Linked DNA regions of Pelodiscus sinensis. The protein of the gene in region 1 interacts with the protein of each later gene in a biochemical or structural test. Links are inferred from orthologs where the notes say so. Each region holds a gene or a part of one and is shown on either strand. Other genes may lie near its edges.

The links.
Region 2: the proteins of ANAPC11 (region 1) and UBE2C form a complex in vitro, tested with the Homo sapiens proteins (66 studies listed by BioGRID). The link is inferred for Pelodiscus sinensis from reciprocal best matches to the Homo sapiens genes ANAPC11 and UBE2C.

Annotation. Positions count from the first base shown.
Region 1 is NC_134730.1:29,739,357-29,747,009, reverse strand, and holds the start of ANAPC11 (anaphase-promoting complex subunit 11), read right to left. Parts: upstream 3,010-7,653; 5' UTR 2,880-3,009; intron 2,393-2,879; exon of another isoform or gene 2,258-2,392; intron 833-2,257; 5' UTR 797-832; coding exon 688-796; intron 603-687; coding exon 457-602; 3' UTR 1-456. Other genes in the region: ALYREF (THO complex subunit 4), read left to right, coding at 3,079-3,309, 3,520-3,651. UniProt on the Homo sapiens protein: Together with the cullin protein ANAPC2, constitutes the catalytic component of the anaphase promoting complex/cyclosome (APC/C), a cell cycle-regulated E3 ubiquitin ligase that controls progression through mitosis and the G1 phase of the cell cycle.
Region 2 is NC_134728.1:1,325-8,516, forward strand, and holds the start of UBE2C (ubiquitin-conjugating enzyme E2 C), read right to left. Parts: upstream 3,001-7,192; 5' UTR 2,958-3,000; coding exon 2,866-2,957; intron 1,672-2,865; coding exon 1,644-1,671; intron 1,239-1,643; coding exon 1,152-1,238; intron 1,024-1,151; coding exon 819-1,023; intron 529-818; coding exon 469-528; intron 212-468; coding exon 153-211; 3' UTR 1-152. Other genes in the region: DNTTIP1 (deoxynucleotidyltransferase terminal-interacting protein 1), read right to left, coding at 4,181-4,319, 4,602-4,657, 5,041-5,112, 5,567-5,627, 5,831-5,889, 6,790-6,835. UniProt on the Homo sapiens protein: Accepts ubiquitin from the E1 complex and catalyzes its covalent attachment to other proteins. In vitro catalyzes 'Lys-11'- and 'Lys-48'-linked polyubiquitination.

The DNA.
Region 1 (7,653 bases):
CAAAGGACAAGCCGTGTCTTAACAATCAGGTCCAGGGTGTTTTAAATAAGGCACCCAAACCACAGATCCATGTCTGCATGGCAAAAGGGGCTTTTTACTGACACACACACACATGCTGCGTAGACTCAAGTGTATGAACTCATGTGGGATGCTCAGTCTCAGATCAGGATGAAACAATTAATGCTGAAAGCTGTGACAGCGTGTTGAACCGGCATCTCTGCGGGAAAGGTTAATATGCACCACTCAGATGCTCCCTCTGCCCCAGGCTTCCCTCTTGCCTATGGTGAGTCATAACAGTCTGTGGGCAAGGTTCCTCTGGAAGGGATAGGGAAATGCAAGAAGCTGTATAAATAATTCACTGTTCCAGGGTCTGGAGAGAGGAGACTAAATCCCAAGAAAACACGTTAGCAATAGCGTGTGAAATCCAAGTAGATCTGCTGGCTGGGGGAGGGGCTGTCACTCCTTGAACTTCCACTCCTGCCGGCACATGGGACAGTGCTGCTGGACCTGCTGGGAATTCAGCCACTTGAGAATGCAGTGCATGTGGAAGCAGTGGGAGCACTGGCCCCACACCAGTGGGCAGTCGTCTCCAGGCACCTTACCTGTAAAAGGACAAAACTCATGAGAGAGCGAGAAGGGCGCCCCGGGGTGAAATCCGGCCGGGGGCCAAGGGCCTGGGCTACTCACAGTCTGGGCAGCAGCCATTGAAGGCCATCCGGCAGATGCCACAGTTCTCATCATTGGCCACCCAGAGCCAAGAGGCTACCCCATTCCAGCTCTTTATCTTCACCTTCATCCTGCCGGCTTCTGCCTCCGGGGGTCAAGTCAGCACCTGGCATGAGAAGCAGCTACTCAGACTGAGTTTTATCATTAACCCTTTAGAACATCAGAGCGGCCAGACTGGGTCCATCCAATCCAGCATCCTGTCTTCACTGACAGGAGCCAATGCCAGGTGCTCCAGAGGGAATTGACAGAGCAGGGAATCATCATGTGGTCCCTCCTGTCGCCCATTCCCAGCTTCTGGCAGAGGCCAGGGACACCAGCCCTGCCCATCTTGTCTCTTAGCCACTGATGGACCCTAACCTCCATGAATTTATCTAGCTCTTTTTTGACCCTGTTAAAAGTCTTGGTCTTTACAACATCCTCTGGCAAGGAGTTCCACGAGTTGACTGTGGCTACGTCTATCCTGCGCAAGAAAATATGCAAATGAGGCAAAGCGGTGAATATCGCTATGCCTCATTTGCATACTTAATAAGCCACCATTTTTGCGCAAAAGCCATTCTTCCTGAAAAAAGAGCTGCGCAAAATGGCGGCTCATTAAGTGTGCAAATGAGGTGCAGCGATGTTCACCGCTTTGCCTCATTTGCATATTTTCTTGCACAAGACAGCACAGCATAGACGTAGCTGTTCTTGCGCAAGAATCCACAGAGCATACACACTGCCCGCCCGCTCTTGCGCAAGGAAATTTACAGTACAGCGTGGTAAGAGAGGGCTTCTTGCGCAAGAGCTACGCTCCTTTTTAACAGGTGTAAGCCCTCTGCACAGGAGCTCTTGCGCAAGAGGTCAGCGTGGACACTTGGCAGGGATTTCTTGTGCAAGAAAGCCCTATGTTTAAAATGGCCATCAGAGCTTTCTTGCGCAAGAGAGCGTCCACACTGCCAGGGATGCTCTTGCGCAAAAGCACAGCGCGCACATGGCAGTGTGGACGTGTTCTTGTGCAAGACTTCTTGTACAAGAAACCTTGCGCAAGATATTCTTGCGCAAGAAGCCTCCAGTGTAGACATAGCCTGTGTGTTTTGTGAAGAAAAACTTCCTTTGGCTTGTTGTAAACCTGCTGCCTATTAACTTCATTGAGTGACCCCCTAGTTGTGTTAAGAGGAGTAAATCATAGGTTGGTTCCCCTGCTGAAACAGCTTATATCCCCAGGGGCCATGCAATCTCCTTTGGCTGTCAGCACTGCTTCCTCCCCTGCGGCAGTTCAAAGTGGGATGTAGATGGGACTGTCCCTTCCTCCATAGCTCAGTCATTACTATAGAAACTCTGCCATAGGGAGCCTCTCATCTGAAATCTTCTAGGTTGGGCTTAGTGACCCTGCCTCATCACTGGGCACATCAGGAACCGTAGGTGCCCTTGTGTTTCCGGGCATGGAATGAAAATGGATCGCGACTCCTATTAGCATTCGGCACTTGATTACTGCAGACCAGGGCTGAGGCCGGACGGCTTCCCTGCTCCCCACGGGAAAGGTACTGGCACACACCTAACGCACCGCAGCCCCGAGAGCGCCACACGACCCGGAACGCAACACTGCACAGCTGCTGGGCGCACTGCACAAAGCCCCCCCCTTCAGGATCTCTATGGGGCTCCACGATCTCTGTCTGCTTCACCACCCTGAGAGAGTTCTGCCCACTCCCCTCTCTTTGCAGTCCGGGAGCCCCCCCCGCCCCTAGGGAACGCTCCCAGATCTCTGCCCCACCCCTAGGATTTCTTCCACCCCTACAGAGCCACCCCACCCTAGGGAGTCCCCCTGAGATTTCTCCCGCCCCTAAGGAGCCCCCTCCCGGAACTCTCCAGCCCCCCCTGCCCTAGGGAGTCCCCCTGAGATTTCTCCTGCTCCCCCTGCCCCCCAGGAAGCCCCCCCGATCTGCCCAGCCCCCACTAGGGAGCCCCCCCGATCTGCCCAGCCCCCACTAGGGAGCCCCCCCGATCTGTCCAGCCCCCCCGATCTGCCCAGCCCCCACTAGGGAGCCCCCCCGATCTGCCCAGCCCCCACTAGGGAGCCCCCCCGATCTGTCCAGCCCCCCTTCCAATAGGGAGCCCCCCCCGGATCTGTCCGGGCCAGGCCCCCGCCCCCCGGCACGTGCTCCGGCAGCTCCGCTCACACTCTCTGGCTGGGCCGGCGGGAATCTCTAGGGCCGCGTACCGGAAGTCCCGCCCCCGGCACCCCGCTGTCACGGCCTCGGCCCAACGGAGAGGCGTGTTAGGCGGCTGCGCCCTTCTTGGCGCCCGGGCCCGCCCCTTCCGCTTCCGGCGTCGGCGCAGCGCGGCCGGAAGTGCAGGCCCCGGAGCGGAGCCGCCATCATGGCCGACAAGATGGACATGTCGCTGGACGATATCATCAAGCTGAACCGCAGCCAGCGGGGCGCTCGCGCCGGGGGCGGCCGCGGGGGCCGGGGGCGCGGGGGCGCCGGCCGCGGAGGCGGGCCCGGCCGGGGCAGCGCCGGCGCGGGCCGAGCAGGAGGCGGCCCCGTGCGGAACAGGCCGGTCATGACCCGGGGAGGCGGCAGGAATCGGCCCGCGCCCTACAGCCGGGTACGGAGCGGGGCTGGCCCGCGGGCCGGATTGCGGCGCGCGGGGGCCGGGGCCGGCCCGGGGGCCGGCGGGGCTGGGGGCCGGGCCCGCGGGAGGCCCTTTGTTCTCGCCCAGCCGCAGCGGGCAGGGGGCGAGGAGCCGCGAGCCCCAGCGCAGTGGCGGGGGCCCGGCCGCGGGGCTTGGTCGCTGAGGGGATTTGTTCTGTTTCAGCCAAAGCAGCTCCCCGAGAAGTGGCAGCACGACCTGTTCGATAGCGGCTTCGGGGCTGGGGCTGGCGTGGAAACCGGGGGGAAGCTCCTGGTTTCTAATCTGGACTTCGGTGTGTCGGATGCAGATATCCAGGTAAGAAAGTGCCCCCCCCCCACGTCGGAAAAGCACCAGAGGTGACGCTTTGCGGTAGTTGGCATGTGCCTCTTTTCATCAATACTGTGTTTTCTGAGCTCTACGAACCCTTCCTCATGGATGGATACTGTGATCTCCAAGGCAGTTCACTTTGTATTATTATTATTATTGCAGCCAGCACTTCTGATTTGACTCTTTTGGTACTATCTGATGTGACTGGAGTGCAAAAAAAAGTTGTTTAGCTTTTCTCTAGTTTGTTGTATAATGAATGGCTGAGCAAAAGTGCATGTGTGGAAAGCTGTGATGTTTGGATCTGAAAATGTAATGTAACTTGTCCAAAATCTGAAACATGCAGATCCCAATAAATGCATTAATAGAATGCTTTACAGGGTTGCTTTGTTTAATTCTCTCTACTGTTAAGATCTTGCTTTTTGTCACACACATACACTGTCTCTTTTTCACATCCACTTTTCTTCCTCCAACCTGTCTTTTTTTCCAGTTCAGAACTCTTATGTTAGGCAAAACTTGTATTGGGTTGTGAGATCTCTAGTCAACTGAGGTGGGGACATGCTTTTAGGGAACTAGCGCAAAAAGCATATGGGTTACGTACTCTTCTACTATAGCATCTGTAACTATCATCATATTGTAAAGGAGCTAAGATCTCTCAGCTGAAATGTAGTAGCCCTTGTGTTTGCTCTACTTATCTTCTTTGAGACATGTCGAAAGTCTCTTAGGCTAGTAACCACTGACCATTGACAAATATATCCTAAAGTATTTTGAGTTAGCTTAATACAACTAAAGTGCAGGCTCACAGGCTTGAAGAATAGCCTCCCGCTAGTCACCTGGGTGCTGAGTCTCAAACGTAGGCCACTAACTTTCAATTGACTTTCATGGAAATTAGGAACAGAAATACCTATGATAATCTGGGTCCTAGTTGTCAAAGTGCTATCAGATGTGCCAATCCAGGTCTTAGGAGACTTAAGAGGTCTTTTCCAACACATTGTGCAAGTTAGAGGCCTTCAGGTTGGCAGGTCCTGATGAAATACATCCTTGAATACTGAAGGAGCTGTCTGAAGAGATCTGAGCCATGAACGATTACCTTTGAGAACTCAGGGAGGATGGGAGAGATCTTGGAGGACTGGCAAAGGGCACATATAGCACCTAACTCTTAAAAGGAGAATAAGGACAATCCAGGGAATAAACAATTTGCTTAATTTGGGAACCCAGAAAGATAATGAAGCAAGTATTCCATCAGTTTGTGAGCACCTAGATGATCATAAAGTGGTAAGTAATAAGCAACATGCATTTGTCAAACAAATTTCAAATCAACCTAATAATTAATAAGCCTTGTGGATAGGGCTGAATAGTGGGGTGATATATCTCGATTGTAATAAGACTTTTGATACTTTCTCACATGACCTGTTATAAGCAAACTAGAACTGTAGCCTCGATGAACCGACCTAAAAGGTGGTTGCGTAATTGGTTGGAAAACCACACTTCGAGAATAGTTAGGAATGGATCACGGCCAAGCTGGAAATTGATTGAAATGGAGTCCCTCAGGGATCAGTTTTGGGTCTGGTTCTATTCAGTATCGTCGTAAATTAATTGGATAGTGGCATAGAGCAGGGGTTTTCAGACACTGGGTCGCGGCTTGTAAGGGCAAATGACTAACTGGCCGTGAGATGCTTTGTTCACGTGCACCTTCGCAGCTCCCATTGGCTGATCTGTGGCCAATGGGAGCTGTAATTGACGGTAAACAGGATTAGAACACAAAATGGTCTCAACAAACCAGAGAAATGGTCTGAAATAAATAGGAGGAACTTTAACAAGGACCAATCTAAAGTATCACACTTAGGAGTGAATAATCAGTTGCACAAATAAAAAATGGGAAATGACTACCTAGGATGGACTACAATAGGGGAAAAAAATCTTGGGGTTATAGTGGATCACAAACTAAATACGAGCCAATGGTGTAATACTATTGCAAAAAAAGCAAACATCACTTGGGGATGATGTAGTAGGAGTGTTGCAAGCAAGACATGAGAGGTAATTTTTCCACATAGCACTGAGCCTCAGTTGCAGTATTGTTTCCAGTTCTGGGCACCACCCTTGGAAAAAAAATTGGAATTTTTGTTTTGTATAATGGAAGACAGGGGAGTGGAGGATAATAACAGTGTTCAAATGTGTAAAAAGTTTGTTGTAAAAAGGAGTGTGGTGTGTTCTGCTCCTCCCCTGAGGATAGGACAAGTAATGGACTTAAATTGCGGCAGGAGAGATTTAGGTTAGGCATTAGAAATCATTTTGTAACTGTAAGGGAAGTTAAGCACAGGAGCAGCTTACCCAAGGTAGGTTGTGGAATCTCCATCATTGAAAGTTTTTAAGAACAGGTTAGACAAACACCTGTCAGAGATTGTCAGATAATGGTCCTGCTTCAGCGCAGGGTTCTGAACTAAGTGACCTCTAGAGGTCTGTTTCAGGCTTACGCTTTGTTTTTCTGTTAAGCTAACTTGATTGAATTAACATAATTGAACACCACATCTTTTGTACTCAAGGCAGGACTGTGGAACTTTTTTATGAAACACCAAAATTAAATGAGTAACTTTATTTCAAATCAGTCCATCTGCACAGAATGCTTATTGTGGGATTGTTTAAATGGGAAATACTGTGATTGTGCACAGAGAAACATAGGAACCTCTGGTTTTAGGGAATATGCTTCCCAAGTCACAGGCTGAGCATTCAGGCTACATTCATTTGAAAACATCTGAGCTGCCCAAAGGAACTTGGTCTGGGTTGAGGTAGTGCTTTTTCTATTAAATGTAGCGTCAGCTTCAAACTGAAGCCTGTGCATTTGCTGCTGCATACATGTTTTGTATGGTAACAGCTGTGAAGAAAATATACTTATAAAATGAGGTTTAAGTGATTTGTCACCAGATCCTGGAATCATTGTGGATAATTCTCTGAAAACATCCACTCAGTGTGCGGCAGAGGTCCAAAAAAGTGAACAGAGTGTTAGAGATCATTAAGAGGGATAGACAAGAAGACAGAAAATATAATATTGCAACTATATAAATCCATGATATGCCGACATTTTGAATATTGAGTGCACTTATGGTCATCCCATCTCAAAAAAGTTATATTGGAATTGGAAAATTTTCAGAAAAAGGAAAGGAATATAATTAGCAGTCTGGAACAGCTGCCCTATGAGGAAAGATTAATAAGATTGAGACTTTTCAGCTTGGAAATGAAACAACTAAGGGCTGATATGCAGAAACCTTCAGATCTGTGGATTTATGCGGGTATTCGCATTTGTGGATATGGAGGTGGAGATCTGCAGCTCTTTTTTGCAAATGGAGATACAAACATTATATCTAGAACCCTGCATATTTACAGAAATCCACTTTATATCTACGGGTATCCACATCCCTGGCTGCAAATGCCGACTAGTGATGTAAAGGGTTAACCTGTTACATGCCCCTTGCTGGCATAAATACCAGAGTAACCAGTTAACTGGCAGGGGACTGCTCTGGCCCAGCAGCTCAGCTGGAGCAGCCCCCTCACCCATGTACCACCATAATGGGGGGCTGTTCCAGCCTGTCTGGGCCCATTGCATTGGGGGGAGAGATGCTCGAGCCCAGCCTGGCTGGAGCAGTCCCCCATCATAGAATCACATTATGCTTAACCGGTCATTAGCTTTTAACCAGGATTTTACATCCCTAATGTGGATATGAATTTTGCATCCCTGCTGGATTGTTGTGATAGAAGTCTATAAAATCATGACTGGCATGGAGAAAGCAAATAAGGAAGTGTTATTTACACCTCACAGCACAAGATCTGGAGGTCACTCAAGGAAATAAATAGGCAAGAGAAGTAAGTATTTTTTCACACAACACATAGTCACCCTGTGGAACTCTTTGCCAGAGAATGTCATGAAAGCCAAGGTTATAACGGGGTTCAAAAAAGAACTAGATAAACTCATGGAGGTTAGGTCATAGAATCATCGAG
Region 2 (7,192 bases), on another chromosome or scaffold:
TTATTTATACAGTCGCTGCGGGCCCCACCGCCAGAGTGAATGGAAAAGAGCCTATGATACAGAGTCCTGTACAGAGCAGGCAAGGACAGGTCCAGAGAGCGCAGACAGGGACGGACGGACAGACAGACAGACAGCTGCAGCTCAGGCAGGCCTCAGGTCTCCTGGCTCTTCGCCTGCTTGGCGTGGGTTTCCTGCAGGTATTTCTTGAAGGCTGGGGAGGGAGGGAGGGCAGAGCTGTGGGGAGCAGCGAACTCCAGGCCCCCGGGGCGCTCGGCCTGGGCTCTCCGCTCGGCCATTGTGGCTGCGCACGCGGCTGGCCAGAGCAGCCTTCGCAGGGCCCAGGAACTCACCCGGTCCCGGCAGGGCCAGGCTGAGCCCCCGGGGCCGTCCCTGGGGAGGGTGACGTCACCCACGCTGGTCTGAAGGCAGCTCAGCCAGCAGAGCGCGGACCGGACGGGAGACACTCACCTGCCTGGTTCTTCCAGAGTTCGGCCGCGTGCGTGTTCAGGGGGCTTTCAATGTTCGGCTCTGGCGGGTGAGAGACAGAGCGTCAGCGCGCAGCCAGGAGCCAGCTGGCTTCTTGTGCAGCATCACCCCCCCGCCACTCCACCCGCGCACCTGCCCCCCCCGCGGCTAGCTGCAGCGGCCAGTCTACCACAGCAGCGCTGAGGAGCCCAGGCGCGGAGGCCTCGCACACCCGACCGCTGGCCCTGCCCCTGAGCGCACGCGGGCAGACGGGGCGCAAGGACGCGATGCCGCCCAGCCCGCGGGCAAGGCGCAGCCAGAGCCTCGGCGCTGCGAAGCCCACGCAGCCTCACCGCCCAGCAGGCTCTGAATGGACAGCAGGATGGTCCGGACGTCGTAGAGCGCAGACCACTTGTCCTTGAGGATGTCCAGGCAGATGTTGCCCTGCGTGTCCACGTTGGGGTGGTAGCAGGGGGTGAGGAACTTGACCGTGGGGGCGTTGTAGGGGTACCCGTCGGGAAACTCCAGGGAAAGCTTGTACCTCAGGTCCTCATACACCTAGGGCAAGGCAGGTCAAAGCACGGTGAACGCAGGCCCCTGTGCGCCCCAAAGCAGAAACCCAGCCTCAGTGCCCACCCCATGGGGCTCTCGCTCGCCTGCCCCCCGCCCAACCCCCCTGGGCTCACCGTGCCAGCGGCGCCATCAATGGTTCCGATCCATCTGAAGAGATTGTCCGACTCGGGGAAGGCAGAAATCCCTTTGTCGCCAGCCATCTGAGCAGAGAGGGCGCAGGGTTACGAGCCCCGGGGGCGCTTGCACAAGGGGACAGGGGGACAGCGGCCCTCCCCCTCAGCAGGCCGGGCCCAAAGGAGCTCTGGAGCTGCAGCAGCAGACACAGCACCCCAGGGTGGGCCTGGGGCCACCTGCCATGGGCCCCGCAGCCTCAGGGTGAGACCAGCCCCCGCCAAGGTACCAGGGAGCCCCTGCTCCACCAGCCTTCTGACAGACGAGAACCCAGGCCCCCGCCCGCTCCGTGTCAGCGGCAGGGAGGGTCCGCTTGTGACCGGCTGCTCAGGTGGGGGGGGACCTCTGGGAGTCAGCTGAGCCCCCGCAGGGAGCGGGGTGGGGCGGGCCAGAACCCCCCCAGCCTGGACCAGCATCCAGCAGTGCCTGCTCACCATCAGCGTCATCAGCTCCTGCTGCAGCCTGCGGGGGAGAGTGGGCTCAGGTCAGTGGGCGTGGCCAGCAGCCCCCCAATTCACCATGCGCATGGCCAGCAGCGCCCCCTCCACTTCCCCCTCCCAGGGCGGCCCACAGTCCCTGCATCGGTCCCCTCACCCCTACGGGGCAGCCCGCAGCCCCCCCCTGGTCTCTCCCCCTCCCCCAATGACCTGCAGCCCCCCCCGGTCTCTCCCCCTCCCCGTCAGCCCCCCCCCCGGTCTCTCCCCCTCCCCCAATGACCCGCAGCCTCCCCGGTCTCTCCCCCTCCCCGTCAGCCCCCCCCCCGGTCTCTCCCCCTCCCCCAATGACCCGCAGCCCCCCCGGTCTCTCCCCCTCCCCGTCAGCCCCCCCGGTCTCTCCCCCTCCCCGTCAGCCCCCCCGGTCTCTCCCCCTCCCCCAATGACCCGCAGCCTCCCCGGTCTCTCCCCCTCCCCGTCAGCCCCCCCCCGGTCTCTCCCCCTCCCCCAATGACCCGCAGCCCCCCCGGTCTCTCCCCCTCCCCGTCAGCCCCCCCGGTCTCTCCCCCTCCCCGTCAGCCCCCCCGGTCTCTCCCCCTCCCCGTCAGCCCCCCCCGGTCTCTCCCCCTCCCCCAATGACCTGCAGCCCCCCCCCTGGTCTCTCCCCCTCCCCGTCAGCCCCCCCCCGGTCTCTCCCCCTCCCCCAATGACCCGCAGCCTCCCCGGTCTCTCCCCCTCCCCGTCAGCCCCCCCCGGTCTGTCCCCCTCCCCCAATGACCCGAAGCCCCCCCCGGTCTCTCCCCCTCCCCGTCAGCCCCCCCCGTCTCTCCCCCTCCCCCAATGACCCGCAGCCCCCCGGGTCTCGCCCCCCTCCAATGACCCGCGGCCCCCCCCCCGGGTCTCGCCCCCCCCATGACCCGCGGCCCCCCCCCGGGTCTCGCCCCCCTCCAATGACCCGCGGCCCCCCCCCGGGTCTCGCCCCCCCCCCAATGACCCGCGCCCCCCCCGGGTCTCGCCCCCCCCAATGACCCGCGGCCCCCCCCATGACCCGCGCCCCCCCGGGTCTCGCCCCCCCCAATGACCCGCGCCCCCCCCGGGTCTCGCCCCCCCCCCAATGACCCGCGGCCCCCCCCGGGTCTCGCCCCCCCCATGACCCGCGCCCCCCCGGGTCTCGCCCCCCCCAATGACCCGCGCCCCCCCCGGGTCTCGCCCCCCCGGTCACCTCCTGCCCACGGGCCCGCGCGTGGCGGCGCTGCCGGGCTCGGGCCCCTTGCGGGCGGGGGGCCGGGCGGGATCCGCGTTCTGCGAGGCCATGGCGGAGCCGCTGCCCCTCCCGCGCCCGCGCCGCGTTTGAATGTTTCAAACCTCCGGGCGCTCGGCCAATCAGCGGCCCCCTCCGCTCCGCGCCGGCCAATCGCGGCTCGCCGGAGACGCATCGCCCTGGCAACCGGCCTGCGGCTCGATCGGCCCCCGGACTGGCCCGACGGCCCGTCAATTACCGGGCTGGGCGGCGAGTGGGCACGCAACAGCCAATCGGCCGGAGGGGCGGGGCCGGGCCTTTAAAGGGCCAGGAACCAGCAGCGCCGGCGACTCTTGCAGCCACGTGCCCCCCCCCCCCCGTGTCTTGAAGTGTAAGGGGGGGGGGGGGGGAGAGGAGACACGGCTGCGGGCGCAGGGACTCGTGAGACACGCGCGTGTGCAAGGGCGTGACACTCCTGCAGGCACCAGCGGGCGTGTTACACGTGGGCGTGCACGGCAGGACGAGAGCTCGCTCGCCAGTGCCCCTGCTCTCTGCCGGGTGTCTGCGAGGGGACCCCGGAGCCGGGGCGCTGACCCCCCCCCCCCAGGGGCGCCGACCCCTTGTCCCCCCCCCAGGGGCGCCGACCCCTTGTCCCCCCCCCCCCCCCCCCAGGAACTAGGTCAGGCAGGATGCGCCGGCCGCAGGCGGTTTGAAATCCCAAGCAGGAAGCAGGGCGGCGCTTTCACGCTGAGGGAGGGCAGCAGCCCGGCTGGAATAGGGCAGGCCTGGAATTCTACTACAGAAACTTTGCCCCAAGGAGGCAGGAGCAGCTCCTGGGGCCTCTTGCCCAGCTCCCAGAAGTGTGTGTGTGGGGGGGTCTCACTTCCTCATTAGCTCCATGTAAGCAACAGGTCCATACACCCTTTTTCCCGGACAGCGACCCCCCCCCAGTAAATGCCTTTGCATAGACACAGCAGGTGTATTTATTACAAATCAGTTTGTACAGGGAGAGGATCCAAAACAGGAAGTTCACACAAGCGAAAGCTCAGCTCTGATGAGAAGCAGGAAACCGCCAGTGACTCTGCTTTCTGTGCCAGCCACCACCAATTAGGGGACTGGCCCCAACAGCTCCCAGGAGGTTCAATTACAGCTGCTACCCTGCTTTCCCCTGGGGGCAGCTTGCTGGTACCCAGGCCACTGAAACCACAGCCCCTCTGCCTTGTGAAACACAGGAAAATGAGGACGCTCCTGCGCCAGTCCATGCCGTGACACCGTGTGGGAGGGAGGGCGAGGCTTCTTATGTTTCATGAGTTCCCTCTGGAGGCTGCGGGTCCCCTTCCCGGCGAAGCGTCTCCATGTACTTCTGCATCTTTTCAGTCATCCATGCAGGCGGGATAAAAGGTTTTAGTTCCTCCAGCTTCAAGTCAACAGAGTCCCTGGCGAGCAAGCGGGAGACAGGAGTGACCGTGGGGGGAGGGACAGACAGTTCAGCCCCACGCCCTGGGAGAACCCCAACGTTCAGGAGAGCTCAGCAGCCTGTGTGTGCCCATGATGCCGCATCCCAGTGGCGAGTGTGGGCACAAGGCCAGCGGGCAGAGCACAGTCCTCGGCAGGGTCGCTTGGCTGCCTGGCCCCCTCCCCTCCGCTCCCCAGCTGTTGGTTTGGTAAGAAAAGAGGGCAAGAGGTCAGCACCGCTAAGTCTTGGCTCCTCGCCTCACCTGTAATCGTCACTGGCAGCCAGGTCCTGAATATCCTCCTCTAGGAGGAGGTAAGCCTGCAGCAAGGGCAAACGAGAGATGGTTGGAGCCGTTCCACTGGGCTACTCAGACAGATCTGCTGGCACCAGCTCTCTACATAGCACCCGCCCCCCACACCTCTTAAGAGACTGGGCCTGCTGTGAGCAGCACTGCTCCCGCCACTCCAGGGGAAGTGGGCTCTCCGCATTCGCTCGCACAGCCACCACGGCACAACGGACGCCTGCCCGGGCTGGAGCCCCAGGAGACGAGGCGCAGAGAGCAGCCTCACAGATGGCGCTGGGACGCGCCCGTCAGCTCACTGGGGACCCTGGAATCCCTGGCTTCTGCTGATTTGTACCCTTCGATTCTGAGCTGGCTTCCGATTCTCTCCCCGTCCCCACCCAGGTCGGGCCACACTCACCATCTTGCCCCCCGTGGCCCGCATGTGCTGCTGTTCTGCCAGCCAATGCTTGTCCTGTGGATCGGCCGCATACTGCAACAGAGCAGCCAGGTCAGAGCCCCACAGTGCCCTCCGTAGCCCCACCACGGGCCAACGCCCGTGAGAGACACAGGGCCAGGGCCAGGCCTTTGGGGAAACCTGGGCAACCCCATGCCTCCCAGGAAGAGAGCTGCCTACGAACAAGGACTTGGCCCCCTCTTGCTTACGCCTCAAAGCAAAGCCTCCCGTGCCAGGCAAATACACCAGACTGCTGCTGTGTGATGCCAGCTCTGGTGTGAGCTGCCACCCACAACGAGCTGGAGTCCCTGCCCCAGGGGGCAGCCAGCAACGCGGGGAGGGCAGAACGTACGAGCGCAAACACACACCTCCCCCACCCAGAGCACGTCTGGAGCAGTCCCCCTCCCCCACCGCAGCATGTCCCGAGCAACAGCTCCCCCCCCCCCCGAGCAAACCCCAAAGGAGGAAGTGGTGCGCTGCCATTACTGACCTTAAAGAGGTGGGGGTGCTTGATGTAGAGTCGCCCTCTGGTCCCGCCCATCCCAAGAGCCCTGAAACAGGAACATGGGGGGGGGGGTAGGGTTAGGCCTGTGCAGCAGGGCAGCTCAGCTGGGGGATACGGAGGCTTCCTCCCCCCCAGAGCCGTGTCCCGCCTGCTCTGCTCCGGCACAGAGAGATGTGACTCGGGAGGGAGCAGCCCCCCGCCCCCAGACCCACGGGGCACAGAGCCCGCCCCCCGCCGAAGCCTCCTTACTTGTTTGCTCGGGATCCCAGCACAAAAGTCGTGGACTCAGTCAGTCGGGATGGATCCCACTACAGTGCCATTGGGAAAGGGGCAGAGATTAGAAACCCAACAGATCCCGCACCTGCTCTGGGAGCCTGAGATTTCTGGAGGAAACTCCAGCAGGGGCCCCACTGGTTTGGGGGGTAGGGGGGTCTGACTAGCTGCAGGCTCAAGGGTTCCATGGAGGGAAAATACAGCTCTACCTATCGACCAGGCTGGGCGGTTCTCTGGCCCTCCCAGCAGAACGCGCTGCCCTGGGACAGCTCAGTCAGGAGGGGGCCAGATGCTGCACTGGGGACTGCTCGCAGGCTGTGGGCATGGGCACAGCAAACAAAGGCCTCTGCCCAGCCCCACACTCTCCCCCTATGGGCGATGACCTCTATCCTAGCCCCCCTTAGTCTCCTAAGCCCCAGTCTTTTGAATCTCTCTCCATACGGGACCCGTGGCAAACCCCTTGTCACTTTGTTGCCCTTTTCCAGTGCCAAGAGATCTTCTCTGAGATGAGGTGACCACGTCTGGACGCAGGATTCCAGATGTGGGCAGCCCCTGGTTTTATACAGAGGCAATAAGATATTCTCTGTCTTATTCTATCATTTTTGAAGGACTCCTCACATTCTATGTGCTCGTTTGCTCGTTTGCTCGCTGCTGCGAGGATGTTCCCAGAGAACTGTCCGGAGGCTCCAGGATCTCTCCTGAGCAGCTGTAGCTACATGGCTCCCCACCCTTGCTATGCCTACTTTGCCAATGTCATCTGCCATTGGGGCCCAATCACTTCGCCTGCCGAGATCTTTGTGCAGCTCCTCAGGCGGTTTTGGCCTCTGGCCCTGTGGGTGGCAGGACGATCACAGCAGAGGCAAAGGGAGAAGCGGGGCTCCACAGAGCTCTGCTGAGCCAAGCCCAGGGCCAAGCCTGCCGGCTGCACACCGTACCTTCGGCCCCTCCCGCCGCACTGGCTCACAGGACTTGAGCTTCCATCTGTTGGAGAAAAACCCAATAGCACCGAATTCCCAGGGGCTTGTGCTGAGAGGCTGGAGTTTGAATCAACCCTGGCTCAGACCCTGTGGGGCGGGAGCTGCCAGCCTTCGATTTTACTAAGCTAGGCTGCCTACAGCCTAACGCGATCCTGCTCTCCCCAGAGAGGCCGGTCACGCCTGCCCACTTCTCTGAGGCTGGCATCTCCATCGCCCCATGAGACTCACAGCCCCTGCGCTCTGCCTGCAGCCTAACCCTGCCAACACAGCCACGCGGACGTCAGCCCCTCCAAGCCCGGCCTTCCGGAGGAAAAGCTGCGATGGCCTTGCCCCCAGAACTGCACGTGTGGGCCAGGAGGAG